2 linked regions of the Pelodiscus sinensis genome follow. The protein of the gene in region 2 interacts with the protein of the main gene of each other region in a pairwise test. Links are inferred from orthologs where the notes say so. Each region holds a gene or a part of one and is shown on either strand. Other genes may lie near its edges.

Region 1 (7,954 bases), on a different chromosome or scaffold from region 2:
GCCATAGAAAATTTAGTTCCACGTCTCTTTTGAAAATACAGGGTATAAGAGGGCAGAAGAGCTTTTTAATGGAAGGGGGAAAAATGGATGAGAGTAGGCTTTCCATGATATCATGGAACATCCTCCATGTTACTGTCACTCCACTGTGGCAGCTAGAACGTAGTCCCTCACATGATTGTGTCTCCAAGCTCATGTGCCATGCTGCATTTGACCAAGTACGTTATAGGAGTACAGATAGTCCCCAACTTACAAACGAGTTACATACCAAGCACTTGGTTGTAACTCGATCTGTTTGTAAGTCGGACCCCATTCAATTACATGTAACTGCGCTGTTCTTAAGCGCGGATTGTGTGTTCGTAACTCGGGGACATGCTTAATGGGAGGTTGGTTGTAAGGCTGAACGGTCGTAAATCGATGCATTTGTAGCTTAGGGACTACCTGTATGACACTTTTCAATTAAACATACAATAATGTATGTCCATAGCCAAAAGCAGGAAACTGGATCTGATGAAGCAGGGACATGATCTTTTAGTTTTATTGTTCACATTTGTTGGGAACAGGTGGGAGATTTCCTGTGATTGCTAAGAGTAGATATTTGTGAACCTTCCCATCTTCTTTTCAAGATTGCAGGAAGGAACACATCTGGGATGGATGCTTCCTTATCTCAGTACAAGCAAGAGATTATCTTTGATTCCTAAATGGTAGAGGAGTAAACTGTTAATCATCTGGTTGAACAAGACACTTAGTAAGCCCAACACTAAACAATTCAAAAAAACAGCAAGCCAACTAGATAAATTCAGAGGTGTATGCCTATAACTGATTTCAGAATGAAGATATTCCAGAGACAATACTTCTAGTACAGCAGTCAGTTTCTTCAGGAGTCAGCTGGAGTTAAGCGGAAGAGGTATCCGGTGGGCAGCAAAAAGCAGTACATCTATGAATTGTGATACTACAAGGAAATGCTGACATACGGGAAAACTGAAGATCTTTCGATTAAAAAAAAAAAATCACATTATTGGTTTATTTTGAAATTGTCCAAGTATATCCTGTGGTTTGACTAGACAACAGAAGGAACCTATTGAGGAAACTAAATTCCCAGCAGCAGTTTTTTGACATTTACTTTAGGAAAATCTCTGTCTCTGCTAGGTCACAAATTATGGCTCACTGGATCAATTAACCACTGTTCAAGCAGTTTTCATTATGATTGATGCACTGGCATATTAGAAATGTAACTAGGCCTGGCATAGTCTGTTGTACCAACCAATTTCATTGGAGTGAGAAGACTGCAGATTTTCCTGAGTGATTTCCAGAAATAAGGCATGTAGAAAAGAGTAACATATTGTTTGTGTCTTGTTAATGGATTACCATGGTTAGCAGATTAAATATATTTCTAGTGCCCTGCTGCCTCTGCTCCGATTGGCTCCATTTCTTTAGTACATTTTTATAAAACTGTTTACAGAGAAAGATAAAAATACCAAGTCATTTATGAGTCATTTATACCATAAGAAAGCAGGTAGTGTGTTTTCTGGGTATTTCTACTTACAGTGATATGGCCCTTTACAAAGTCATCTAATCTGTCTTCTCAACACAAACAGTTCCTTCCTTAAGAAAATGCTATGTAATCTGGAGAAAGTTGTTATAAGGAGGAGGGAGAAATATTGTTCTCCTTAACCACTGAGGATAGGACAAGAAGCAACAGGCTTAAACTGCAGCAAGGGCAGTTTAGGATGGACATTAGGAAAAGCTTCCCATTAGGGTATTTAAACATTGGAATAAATTACCTAAAGAAGTTGCAAAATCTGCATCATCTTACCTACTCTTAAAACCCCAAACACATACCAGGTATGGTCTAGATCAGAGGTTCTCAAACTTATGATACCGCAACCCCCCTCTAAATTGTTTGCAATCTCCCTCTAAGTTGCTCACGACCCCATGGGATATCAGGACCCACAGTTTGAGGAAACGCTGGTCTAGATAATACTTAGTCCTGAGTGCAGGGGAGTGAACTACTGAGATCCCTTCCAGTCCTATAATTCTGTGCTTCAGTAATGCAGTTACTCATCCACGCATAATACTTGTCAAACATTTGCTTGCTTGTTTGCAACGCACTCCCGTTACCACGAAGAATTTTTAGCAAGCCCATCAGTTCCTTTTACACCCAGCTCCAGACACGCAACACTGAAATTAGCCTGAGACCTCCAGTCACACAAGTATGCTCTATTCTTAAAGATACGCTCATGCACAGGCTCTATTGTGTTCCTAACCAGAATGATTTAAGCAATAAGCTTAACGAGGAGGACGCTGCGGGTCGGCCAGTGATCGACACAGAGTAGCTAGATGGGGGGCAAGGGGACTGCTGGGCCCTTGCGCAATACGGCGGGGAGGGGCAGGGGCTGCACGGGGAGAGCCAGACCCCAGCGCCACCCGGACCACACTGCGGCCACCCGAAACTTGCCGGGCTCCGGGAGTAGCAGCAGCTGCCGGGCCCCGGGGCAGCAAGGGAAGGGCGGAGCCCGGCCCAGCACAGGCGGGCCCAGCGGGAGGAGACCGAAGCTGAAGGAGGGGCGAGGGGAGCAGGCGGGAACGGCTGCACCCGGCCAGGGCGGCCGTGACACGAGGCCTCGGGCGCGGACCCCGCCGGGCCCGCCCCGTCCACCCGCGCGCGCCCCACCCCGGCCCGGCCCCCGCGCTCGCGCCCGGCTCAACGCCCGTTGCCAGGGCTACGGCTCCGCGGCCCCTCGCTCCCCGGGCCGCCCGCCCCTGCCCGAGGCGGCTCCCGCGGCCGCGCGCCCACCCGGCCGGCAGGGGGTCCGCGCCCCCTCAGGGCTAGTCCCTCCCGCGCGCTCACCCGCTCGGCAACAGCTCCCCTCGGCGCCGCAGCTGCCCTGGCTGCTGAAAGGGGCGGGACAAAAGCCTCCGGCGGGGATTAATTATTCATGTGCGGGCGGGGCAGCGCCGCGCTTCTCTGTCCTTCAGCCCAGGCTGACGTGATCGGCGCGGTGACGTAACAGTGCCCACCCCTTTGCAGAGGCCCCGCCCACAGGTCGTGGTGCGCAGCCTCCTGCTCCCTCCGCTCCCTTGGCGGCTCCTGCGCTCCCACTGGGGGTTGGGTCCCTGGCTCCTGCAACACCCTCAGGGGCTGTGTCTAGACTGGCCCGTTTTTCCGGAAAATCAGCCGCTTCTCTGGAAAATCTTCCCAGCTGCCTACACTGGCCGCTTGAATTCCCGCAAGAGCCCTGACTTCCTACTGTCCGAAATCAGCGCTTCTTGCAGAAATGCTACGCTGCTCCCTTCGGGCAAAAGTCCCCTTTGCGCAAAAGTTTTGTGCCAAAGGGCCAGTGTAGACAGCTGAGATTTGTTTTCCACAAAAGCGCATCTAGATTGGCCACAGATGCTTTTCCGCAAAAAGTGCTTTTGCGGAAAATTGTCCGTGCCCATCTAGACGCTCTGTTCCGAAAATGCTTTTAACGGAAAACTTTTCCATTAAAAGCATTTCTGGAAAATCATGCCAGTCTAGACGTAGCCCCTGTGTCCCATCCTGTCTGTCACCAGCACTGAGCGCCCCAGGGCCTGCCAGACTCCCCCCGCCCCGCGCTAGGCAATAGACTAGACTCACTGACCCTCCAATCGCACCCATCCACGCACCTCCCATCCTGCCCCTTCTCCTAGCCCCAGATCACCCCACCCTCTGCCCCCCCCCCCCCCCCCGCACTCTCAGTCAACAAAGGAAATCAGATTGATAGGGAACGATTTGGTCTCACAAATCCACGACAGAAAGTCCTTATAAGCCCATTCTTTTCCAGGTGCTTATAAGTTGATCGTTTTCAATAGCTTAGTATCAAAGTTAGGCTGACTGTTTATAATTCCCTGGGTCCTCGTTTATCACCCCTTTTAAAAGTAGGCATTACCTCTTCTGGGACCTCACCTATCCTGCACGAGTTCTCAAACAATTCTGCAATTGCTTCAGCTAGTTCCTTAAGTACCCTAGGATGCATGTCATTAGGACCTGCTGACTTAAGTACTCTAAATTATCTAACTATTCCTATCCTAATCTTTCCCTTTTTTGTTAATATTAATTCTATTCAGTGGGTCACCATTGACCACTTTGGTTAAGATTAAAGCAAGATAGGTAATAAATAGCTCACTCATTTCCTCATAAGAAAAGTAACCTACACTTTCTCTTTCTCTTGCTCCTAGTGTATTTTAAAAACTTATTACCTTTGCTGACCCTTGCTAAGTTAACTCATTTTGTGCCTTAGCCTTTCTGAGTTTGTTCCTACAGGTTTGTACTATTCTTTTGTATACCTGCTTAGTGATTTGTCCACGTTTCCACTTTTTGTAAAATTCCTTTTTGATTTGTGGGTCTTTAAAGAGCTCCTGTTGGAACCATATTGGCCTCTTAATAATCTTCCTATCTTTCCTTTCAGAAGGATAATTTGCAGTTGTGCCTTTAACATTGTCTCCTTGAGAACAAGCTCGATGACTTACACTCCTCTTTCCCTTAGGCCATGTCTACAATAAAGAGGAAGGTTAAATTAAGATATGCTACTCCAGCACTGTTAATTACATAGCTGGAGTTGACATGCCTTAATTAGAGTTTCCCCTTGTTCCCACAGCAGGAAGCTGATGGGAGCAAACTCCCCCACTGGCTTCCCTTACTCCCCACAAGAGCAAGGTGAGGACCTATGACAGGGGCACTCTCTGAGTTTGATTTAGCGGGCCTTTACTAGATCCACTAAATGGAATTCCGGAAGATCAATCATGGCACCATCAATCTTCCCCCAGTGAAGACATGGCCTTAGAATTTTCTTCCCATCTGGCTTTATCTACCAGTACTTCGAGTGAATTTGCTTTTTTGAAATCCATTGTCCTGATTCTGTTGCTCTCACTCCTTCCTTTCCTTAGAATCATGAAATCTATCATTTCATGGTCGCTTTCACCCAAACTGTCTTCCACCTTCAGCTTCCTATCAAGTCTTTCGTATTCATGAGAATCAAGTCAAAAACAGCTGTCCCCCAGTTATTTCCTCCATTTCCTGGAACAAGTTGTCTTGTCTTGGAAGATAAAGTTGTCTACAATACCTTCCAAGAACTTAATGGACATTTTGTGTTTTGCCGTATTACATTTCCAAGAGATCCCCCATTGCTAGCAGGTTTTGTGTTTTGGATATTTCTGTAATCCTCTGTCCTTAGTGAATTTCTTGACCCATGCTTCTCAGGCTCCTGGAAGAATAATTCCTCTCCCAAGCTCCTCCTCGGCCTCCCAAGGAAAAGTCTCTCCCCACAATCTTAAATTAAAACAATAGGTCACAAACTCTGGCCCTTTTAGGGCAACCGCAGAAAGCTGTTTGGCCGCATGTTGCTGGTTCTTCTTTTTTTCCCGCTGTTCTTTTCCATTAAAGGAAATGACAAATACTAAAACACTGAATGTGATTTGTAAGAAATTGCTTCAGTTGCCATGGAGAAGATATATGATGGTGAATGACAAGGAAATCAGTCTGCAAGCAAACAGAGGGGGGAGGAAGGAAAGGAGATGGGCAAGCAGTCATAAATAGGAGGTTGGCAGTCATGACTGGAGGGAAATGCCCACAAGACACTCTTTAGTAAGGGGTGGTTCCCACGATGGTGAAGGTTGAGAACTCCTGAATTAGACACAGAGAAGGATTTGCTGTTTTACTTGTTCTGCTGCTCAGTTTCTCAGTGCCACCTGCCACCCTTTGTGTTGGATGCAGCTTTCATATCCTTCACTCATGGATAAGCTGCTGCTCTGAACTGAACTGCGCTAAATAAATTCCGGACTCATTGACTAACTGGGGCATCTAACCTGAGCCTGAGAACATGGATTCCTGTCTTAGTTTCCCTGTAAGGTAGCATGTGGAAGTCCCCGTCCCTCCCCCAGGAGAGTGCAACACACAGAGAGCACATGGCCCCTGCAGTTGGCCACTCTGAATGGTATGTGGGGCTGCGGCAAGCAGGGAGCCTGCCTGAGGCTTCCACTGGGCTGATGGCTGGGAGCCGCCTAAGGTAAGCACCTCCCAGGCAGAGCCTGCACCTGGCACTCCACCCACACCCTCCTCCCAACCCTCTGTCCTCTCACCTGCATCCCTAACTCAGTTCACAATCATGCTTCTTCACCCATATCTCCTCCTAGACCCTGCATGCCAATCCCCTGGCTCAGGTCACAAGCCCCTCCTATCCTAGGTCACCACCTAAACCACTGCATTCTGCCCCAGGTTACAACACCCTCCCATGCCCTGTGCCCTGACCTCTACCCCTCCTCCAGAGCAGAATGCTCTCCTGCACCTATACCCCCTCCCAGACCTGACACCTCCTCCTGTACCTCAGTTTCCTGCCCCAGATCATACCCCAAATCCCTGCACCCCCTTATATACTCATGCCCCAACTCACAACCCACTCCTTCACCCAAATTCCCTCCCAGATCTCACATCTCCCCCATTAATATCATGGAAGAGAGTGGCCCTTGACCACTTACCAAATTCTTGGAGTGGCCTCCCTGATATATAATCTTACTATATATTTTAGAAATGTGCGTCTGTCAGCCTGTCCATCTGTCTGAGTCCCTTTGTTCAAGAACTCCTCCTAAAGGGTAAGAGCTAGGACCACCAAATTCGGTAGCCAACTTCCTCTTATCATAACTTAAAGCAAGGTCAGGGGTTGGTTGTGCCAGGACAATGGGATGTGCCTAGAATCTGATTGTTTTCTATAATGTGGAAAAGGAAAGGGCTCGTGTAGAATGACTACTGGCAGGGATGGGGCAGCAAGGAGCCAGATGGGGACCAGGCTAGCTATACCCTCATTGGGCCAGCAGGGCGCAGGGGTGAAGAAAGGGCCAGCTATCTACTATATACTATATATTTCAGAGAGTTTGTCTGTCCCCCAGACAAGGGACATGCACTCTTCCCCCAGCTGTGCCTGCTGCACATTCAGCCTGGACAATAAGGCGTACATTTCTAAGTGAGGGTAATTAGCCATCGGAACAATTTACCAGCAGTCACGGTAGCGTATCCATTGCTGGCAATTTTTCAAATAAAGATGGTCTGTTTTTCTAAAAGCTTTGCTCGAGGAGTTATTTTGGGGACGTTTCAAGCCCTGTGCTATACAAAAGCCCAGACTGAACGATCACAGCAGTCTCTTCTCGTCCTGGAATCTATGAATGGGAGAATGGTGGAATGCTGGGATCAGAAGATTCCACGGCAGATGGGAATGATCCTGAAGATGGGAGCTGAATGGGCTCAATGCCTCAAGGCTTAGCTACAGAGTGATGGTTTCATTCACAGACTAGACTGAAGGGTGTGTGTGTGGCTGAGATTATGCTACCGAGCAAACAAAGGCCAGGTTCTTCCCGCACTGGGATTAAAACAGTATTGTAATATGAACTGAAGGGTTTAAATGAAGTTGGCTCACGTTCTCATTTTTGTAAGTAGGTTTAAATTGTTTCTCGAGACTCTGCCTTTCAAGTTAAGGACGCCTGGCAAAACTCCACTGATACGATTTCCCAACACTGTCAGCATTGGCAAAATCTCTTAGCTTTTACTCAAAGAAATAAGTGCATTTCTAGCCTTGCTGACTGCAAAGGAGCCAAGAGGAATGATGCTGGAACTGCTGTGGTTATGCAGTTCAGATGATCGGGGGAAAGCAGCAGAGCAAATGGAGCAGCATTAATCACCCCCTGAATTTCCCAGGTTCTTGGTTCCTGCAGGCACCTGCAGGCTTGTGAAGTGAAGATCTGGGTTCTCTGACCCTGAATAAAATCAGTTTCCGATTTACGCATATGCCGAGTAGTCCCAAATTCCTTGTGCTCTGCTAGCCTACCTTGTTGCATGGCACTGTTGAGTCTTATGGAACTCCACAAGCGAGGGTCTAATGCTAGAGGTGAAGTTTCTCATTGCTAAACGTAGGGTGGATGATGGATCCTTCCAGGAAGAACTAAAGTC
Region 2 (6,931 bases):
AAGAAATTTCAAAGTTCTGACCATGACTTTATGTTAAGGACAAATATATATATACATATAAAATCCTTGAAATTTCTATTTAGTATTCTTATTAAGTTTTAGACTGATTGCAAATGAATTTGCAGTCTTAGCCACAGATATAAAATTATACTCGTCATGGACATAATAACCTATTTGCATGGATTCTTTTACATGACTTGAGCGTTATGGACTTTTTTGAGAATATGTAATCGTTATCCATAACTAAACTAAAAATGATAATTCTTCAAATTAGGCAATGGCTTATCATAAAGATATAATTTTAAATAAGGTACTGTCTTAATATACATACATTAAGAATGCAATTCCATCTCTCAATTTCTATCACTCAGGCTTTGCACTCTTGGTTTATGATGGTACCACACAGAATTATAGTTTTTCTATTTAGAGCTGAGGATACATCATTCTTTATGATCTGATCTACCAAATAGCAAGGTTATCAAATGGAAAATATTTCTTAAAATAAAATTTAAAACCTCCAAAATGATAATTGTTTAATCTGTAATGTAATGAGTAATTACAATTCAAAATTCTTCAATATCTTGCTTAAAATACATACATATACAGTTACTGTCAAGCAGGATCCAATATTTGCCTTGTCTTAACACAGCGTCTGTTAGTTTCTTTTGGTTTAGAGACTGGGTGTTTCTCTTTGTCTTTTTAAAACCAAACATGCCACCACTTAACAAAAATAAATAATAATCAGGGCTCACCAAGTGGTGGCGAGCCCTGCTCGCCAGCCGTGCGGTTCTGCGAGCTGCGCATGCACAGATTGCGCTGCACATGGGCAGATCGAGTGGTGCTGGCTGTGCCAGCTTGTAATCTACTCGCCATAGGCAAGTAGATTACACAATTTGTCGAGCCCTGATAATAATAATAAATCATAATAATATTTAATCAGATATTTCCCTTATGCTTAGCTATTATAGCAATAGGTGCAGCAGAAATACAATTACTAGGCACATAGGTAATACAGAGTCTTAGAGGGGTAGTTGTGTTAGTCTGTAACTAATAACAGTTAAAAAAACAACACTGGTCCTGAAGCAAGTAAGGGTATGTCTACACTACCCCGCTATTTTGAACTAGCAGGGTAATGTAGGCATACCGCAATTGCAAATGAAGCCCGGGATTTGAATTTCCCGGGCTTCATTTGCATAAGCCGGGCGCCGCCATTTTTAAATCCCGGCTGGTTCGAACCCCGTGCCGCGCGGCTACACGCGGCACGAACTAGGTTGTTCGAACTAGGCTTCCTAGTTCGAACTACCGTTACTCCTCGTGGAATGAGCAGTCAATGGAATTTCCATCAACTACATGATTAGTCAATAAGGGGTAGATGTGGCGCTCGCTATCCCAGCTGCACCGCTGCATTTTAAATGTAATGAGAGATGCCTGTGGCTCTTACTACATTTAAAAGGCAGAGGCGGAGCACGGAACTGTGGCCCTTTTGCCTTTGAAATGTAACAAAAGTCCCGGCGGGCTTTTCCTGCTACATTTCAAAGGCAGAGGCATATCAGTTGGGACCTGGTGCGAGCGGGGACTGCTTGGCTATGTCTGTATTGGAAGATTCTTGCACAAGAACTGCCATTCTTGTGCAAGAACCCGCAGAGCATCCACACTGCTCGCCCGCTCTTGCACAAGAAGATTTACAGTACAGCATTGGAAGACAGGGCTTCTTGCACAAGAGCTACACTCACTCTTTTCTAACAAGTGTAAGCCCTCTTGCACAAGAGCTGGTACAGAGGCAGCAGGGGGAGGGAGGGGAGGAGTGAGGAAGCGAGTACTCAAGTAGTGACTCGACTACCAGATAAGTATCCCTAGGGTACAACCCACTTCTTATATGCCATCTGAAGAAGTGAGTTGTGCCCACGAAAACTCATATACTATTTATATATTTTTGTTATTCTCTAAGGTGCTACAGGACCAATGTTGTTTTTTTACAGAGAACAGGGAAACAAATTTTTCAGCCTGGTCTACCCTGGGGGCAATGTCAAAATAAGGAATGCAACTCCAGCAACGTGACTAGCATAATTGGAGTCAACATACATTAGTTCAAGTTTCTAAGGCATCGCCACTACTGGGGGTCGATGGGAGAAACTCCTCCTTTAGCTTCCTTTACTCTTTTCACTCCAGTGGAGTACCCAAGTCAACAGGACTGCAATCAGTGGTCGATTTAGCTGGCCTTTAGAATTTTGGTCTGACCCAGCATGGCTGTTCTTATTAAAGGAGTTCCAAAAACAGAAAAAAAGTTCAGTCCCCACACGGTTTTAGATACTTTTATTCTCTTTGATGTTAAAAGGCTAAATCTAAAAAAAGGATATTTTATGCCAATGTATCTTCTGTAATATTACAATATATTGATGCAAGATGGTCAAAATTATCTCTTCTAGCTTCCAAATCCAATAATAACCCTATGTTGCCACCATACTGGAGGCCCTCACAGGGACTGGGTATGTGGGGTACCCTAACAATGCCTCTTCCTATAAAACCACTCAGGAAGATAAGCTCATCCATTGGGCCAACCCCATCCACATCAAAATATGAGGGCAACTGAATGATCCATGCAGGGGTGGCACTCCCACCTATTCCTGAGGCAGCCACCTTGTGGGACAGCTAATTGCACATCCCCAGTGAGCTGCCCCACGGGGCCTGCCCTCCTATCCCAGCCTCCCTCCTCCCAGGGCCCATTCCGCGCACCTCCTCTCCTTCTTTCCCAGACATCCTGTCACTGGGGCTTGTCTCCCCCTTTTCCAACACTCCCGGGGGTGCCGCCTGCCCTGCCCCCGCAGAGCCCCGCTGCCTTGCACCCGCGAAGGATACGCGCACGCGCTGCCCGCGAAGGTGCCGCCGTGGCACTGAGGCGCGCAGTCCGGAGCCGGGCGAAAGAGGCTCCTCCAGCCGGACCCGCCCGGCGCAGCAGAGCCCGGCTCCCACTGTGCGGGGCTGACGCCCCCCGCGCCCCTCACGCCGGGCTCCATTCAGCCCCGCCGGACCGCCCCCATGCCGGTCCCTGCCTGCCTGCTGGGTCAGGGCTGGGCGGGGGCGCCCATCGCTCTGCGGCTCGGCCGCCCTGCCGCCATCTTGGCAACCACGGACGCCGCTTCCTTCGCAACGGAAACCAGGGGCAACGCGAGGGGAGAGAGAGGAACTGGGGCACCGTCGGCAAGGGAGACGGGGGCGGGGCCTACGTGGGGGAGGAGCCTGGGGCCGGGACGGGAGAAGCGCCTGGGAGACAGGGATGAGCCAGGGAAGGGGGCGGGGCTGGGAGTTGCGGAGAGAAGTATGTGAGGAGCAGGTTGCTCCTCCCACCGGCTCAAAAGCCTTGAGCTCACCATCCAAAAACAAACAGGTTTTTAAAAAAATACTCACCCGGGGATCTTTTTATTTAGAAAAAAAGAAAAGAAAACAAACCGGAAAGCTGAATATCATATGAAGTCACATGACTCTTGGGATTGGAGCTTTACAAAAAACACCAAACACAGGAGGACACATTCATAGATAAAGGTTCACCGTTTTGCCAACTCACAATTGTATTACAAATCTTGTGATGTTTGTTGGTCTTCTTAAAGCTCCACCTCAAAGACTAGCTAGTGTGGCCAACTTTCTAATGATTCTAAACCAAACATCCTTGGCCTGCCCCCTGTCTTGCCCATTCCTCAAGGACCCAACCCTGCCCTACTCCTCCAAGGCCCCCCCACTCCTCTCAGGGAGATATAGGGTGGGCACTAACAGTTGTGTGCCCCCTGAATGCCACTGGGGGTAGAGCCAAGGGGCCAGCAGCCAGAGACATCCTGTCCTAAAGACAGTTCATCTAACTTTGAGGGGCTCCACACTGTGCATGGGACTAGCAGGTGGTGGGAAGCAGATCTCCACCTCCCTCTGCTTCCCACAGCTGGTGAGTGCAGAGGGCAGTTCCTCCACTTTCCTTAAGCCCTGTTCCCCAGGGATGAAGATTAGCAGGGGGCCTGACACTGGAAGCAGCGATTGGGTCCCCCAATACTTAATGGCAGTGGCGGGAAGCAGAATGACCCAGCCCTAGCCTGCTCTGCTCCCCTGACCCCTAGCTGTGTCGCTGGGAAAGGAACTTGGTTGAACTGATGGCACCTCCCTTTGCACTCACCAGTGGCAGAGAAGTGGAGCAATGTGACTTAGAGCCAAAGGAACAGAGTGGGCTTGTGTCGGATTGCTTCTCCACTGTGGAGTACAGGGCAAAAGCTGACTGCTGCTGTTGGTGCCAAATCCCCCATTTTGCCCCCTGGGCCATGTTGTTCAGCGGGGGGGGGGGAGAGAAAAGGGTGAGCTTGAGGAAAGAGTGGATTAGAGGAAGAGAGAGGGTGGAGCAGGGATGGGGAGGGGTGGAGCACAAGGTTGGGGAAAGGATGGAGTGGATGTGGGATGGGGATGGGAAGAAGTTGGGCCCTCCCCAGTAGGGATGTAAGTGAGTAGTCAACTATTCGACTACTCGCTTCCCTCCCTGCTGCTGCTTTTGTATCAGAGGCAGCAAGGGGAGAGGGGAATGGACCCAGTGCTGGGGGGATCCAGCTTAAAAGTTGGTTCCCCCAGCACCGTCTCTGTGGTGCCACTTGCCCCATGCCACTGTCTCTATCAGGCATGAGCTGGGACAGAGCCAGGACCATTGTGTCTCTACATTTTAAATGTAGTAAGAGCCACAGCGGTCCCAGACTGACCCCAGCCACAACTGAGCTAGACTTGTTTGGTTTTGGCTTGCACCAGCTCCAGCAGAAGCCCCTGTTCATGGCGGTCCAGGTTGGCCTCAGGCAGAGACTGCTCCAGCAGCAGTCCCTGTCCACACCCTGCTTGGACCCCCTGCAGATAGGGGCTGCTGCACCTGGTGAGAGCCAGGACCAAGCAAATCTGGCTCAGTCCTGGCTCTCAATGGTCTGGGACCTACCTCCCCTGCGGCTCTGCAGTTTAAATGTAGTAGGAGACAGGCTGCCTGCACGCCCAGTTTCTACTACATTTAAACTGCAGAGCTACAGCAGGGGTAGCTCCTGGACCAGTGCAAGCCAGCACAGAGCCCTTCTCTTATAGACATATTGTGTGGTGGATACAAATTGTATCGACTGCACAATTAGTCAATAACTCATCTCTTAGCATACCTACCCATTCTAATAGTGGCATGGGGGAGCAGTCATATGGGGGCAGTCACATGGCCAGCGGTCTTGAGTCCCTCCTTAGCAGTCACCAGTAGGTGCAGGGAGTGTTTCGAGCTAGGGTAGGGATTTGGACTCCGAGAGGGAGTTTGGGTGTGGAAGGGAGCTCAGAGCTGGTGTAACCCACATACCTAGTTTGGGTCTCTGTCCCATGAAGTGGCACCTAGACCACAGCAACAAATAAAAACAAGAGACCTCTACAGTATAGCTGAAAGGGTAGAGGCTCCTATACTAAGCTTCCCAGGTTCAAATCTATCTGGTGACAGTTACACTGGGACAAGAGAGTTGGGGTGCACAAGAGCATAAAATGGCCATACTGGGTCAGACCAAAGATCCATCTAGCCTAGTATCCTGTCTTTCCACAGACAACCAAGGAAAGGTGCTGTAGAGAGAATGAAAAGAACAGATATTCACTGAGTTGCTTGTTCCCAGCACCTGGGAAACAGAGGCAAGGGTCACCATCCCTATCCATCCTCACTTACAGCCATTGATGGACCTATCCTTCACGAATTTATTTAGTTCTTTTTTGAACCCTATCATAGTCTTGGCCTTCACAACATCCTCTGGCCAAAATTCCGTACGTTGACTGCACATTGTGTGATAATATATTTCCTTTTGTTTGTTTTAAACTTGCTGTTTATTCATTTTATTTGGTGACCCCTAGCTTTTGTGTTATGAGGAGGAGTAAATAGCTCTTCCCTGTTTACTTTCTCTACACTGGTCATGATTTTATAGATCTTTAGTGATATCCCCGCTTAATTGTCTCTTTTCCTAGCTGAAAAGTGCCAGTTTTATTAATCTCTCCTCATAATATAGAAGCCATTCCATATCTCGAATCATTTTTGTTGTCCTTTTCTGAACCTTTTCCAATTCCACTATATACTTTTTGAGATAGGGCAATCACATATGCACAAGCTGTGGATGTACCATGGATTTATATAGAGCAAATATGATATTTTCTGTTTTATTATCTATCTCTTTGTTAATGATTCCCAACATTCTGTTCACTCTTTTGACTATCACTGCACATCAAGTAGATGTTTTCAGAGATCTATCCGCAACGACTCCAAGATGTCTTTCTTGAGTAATAACAGCTAATTTAGACACCATCATTTTATTTGTATAGTTAGGATTATGTTTTCCCATGTGGACTATTTTGCATTTATAAACATTACATTTCATCTACCATTTGGTTGCCTAGTCACCCAGTTTTGAGAGATTCTTTTGCCAACCAGCTCTTAATACATTTAAAAAGCAGAGTCGCAGCATCTGGGACTGGGCACGAGCCGGGAATCAGTAGAGATGTTTTACGTAGAGAAAGCTCATAGAGTTCACTCTCTTTATCAGTGAAAGAGAAATATGCACAGCTGTTCTCCACAAGTAACAATTATTTATACTGGGCTTGACAATAAATGTATTTTATTAAGTATAAAAAATAGGATTTAAGTGGTTGCAAGTGATGACAGACAGATCAAAGTGAGATACTAAGTCAAAATATACAAAACATGCCAGCTAAGACTAATACACGAAGAGATATTGTAACATATCATATTTTCTCACACTAGTCCTTATTTCAGGTAAAGTCCTTCAGGACAGAGCAGATCTTTTCTCTGACTTGGACCCAGCTGCTTCTCTCCCTTTGTTTCCAGGTCTCTTCATATGTCCTTTTGTGATGGGGATCATTCTGTGAAGCCAGCTGAAGACCATCATTGTTTGCTTCC

The links.
Region 1: the proteins of CEP126 (region 2) and HMOX2 interact in a two-hybrid assay, tested with the Homo sapiens proteins (2 studies listed by BioGRID and IntAct). The link is inferred for Pelodiscus sinensis from reciprocal best matches to the Homo sapiens genes CEP126 and HMOX2.

What each region holds. Positions count from the first base shown.
Region 1 is NC_134726.1:3,838,075-3,846,028, reverse strand, and holds the start of HMOX2 (heme oxygenase 2), read right to left. Parts: upstream 3,003-7,954; 5' UTR 2,849-3,002; intron 1-2,848.
Region 2 is NC_134711.1:304,296,458-304,303,388, reverse strand, and holds the start of CEP126 (centrosomal protein of 126 kDa), read right to left. Parts: upstream 3,015-6,931; coding exon 2,857-3,014; intron 27-2,856; exon of another isoform or gene 25-26; coding exon of another isoform or gene 17-24; coding exon 1-16. Other genes in the region: ANGPTL5 (angiopoietin-related protein 5), read left to right, coding at 3,037-3,198. UniProt on the Homo sapiens protein: Participates in cytokinesis. Necessary for microtubules and mitotic spindle organization. Involved in primary cilium formation.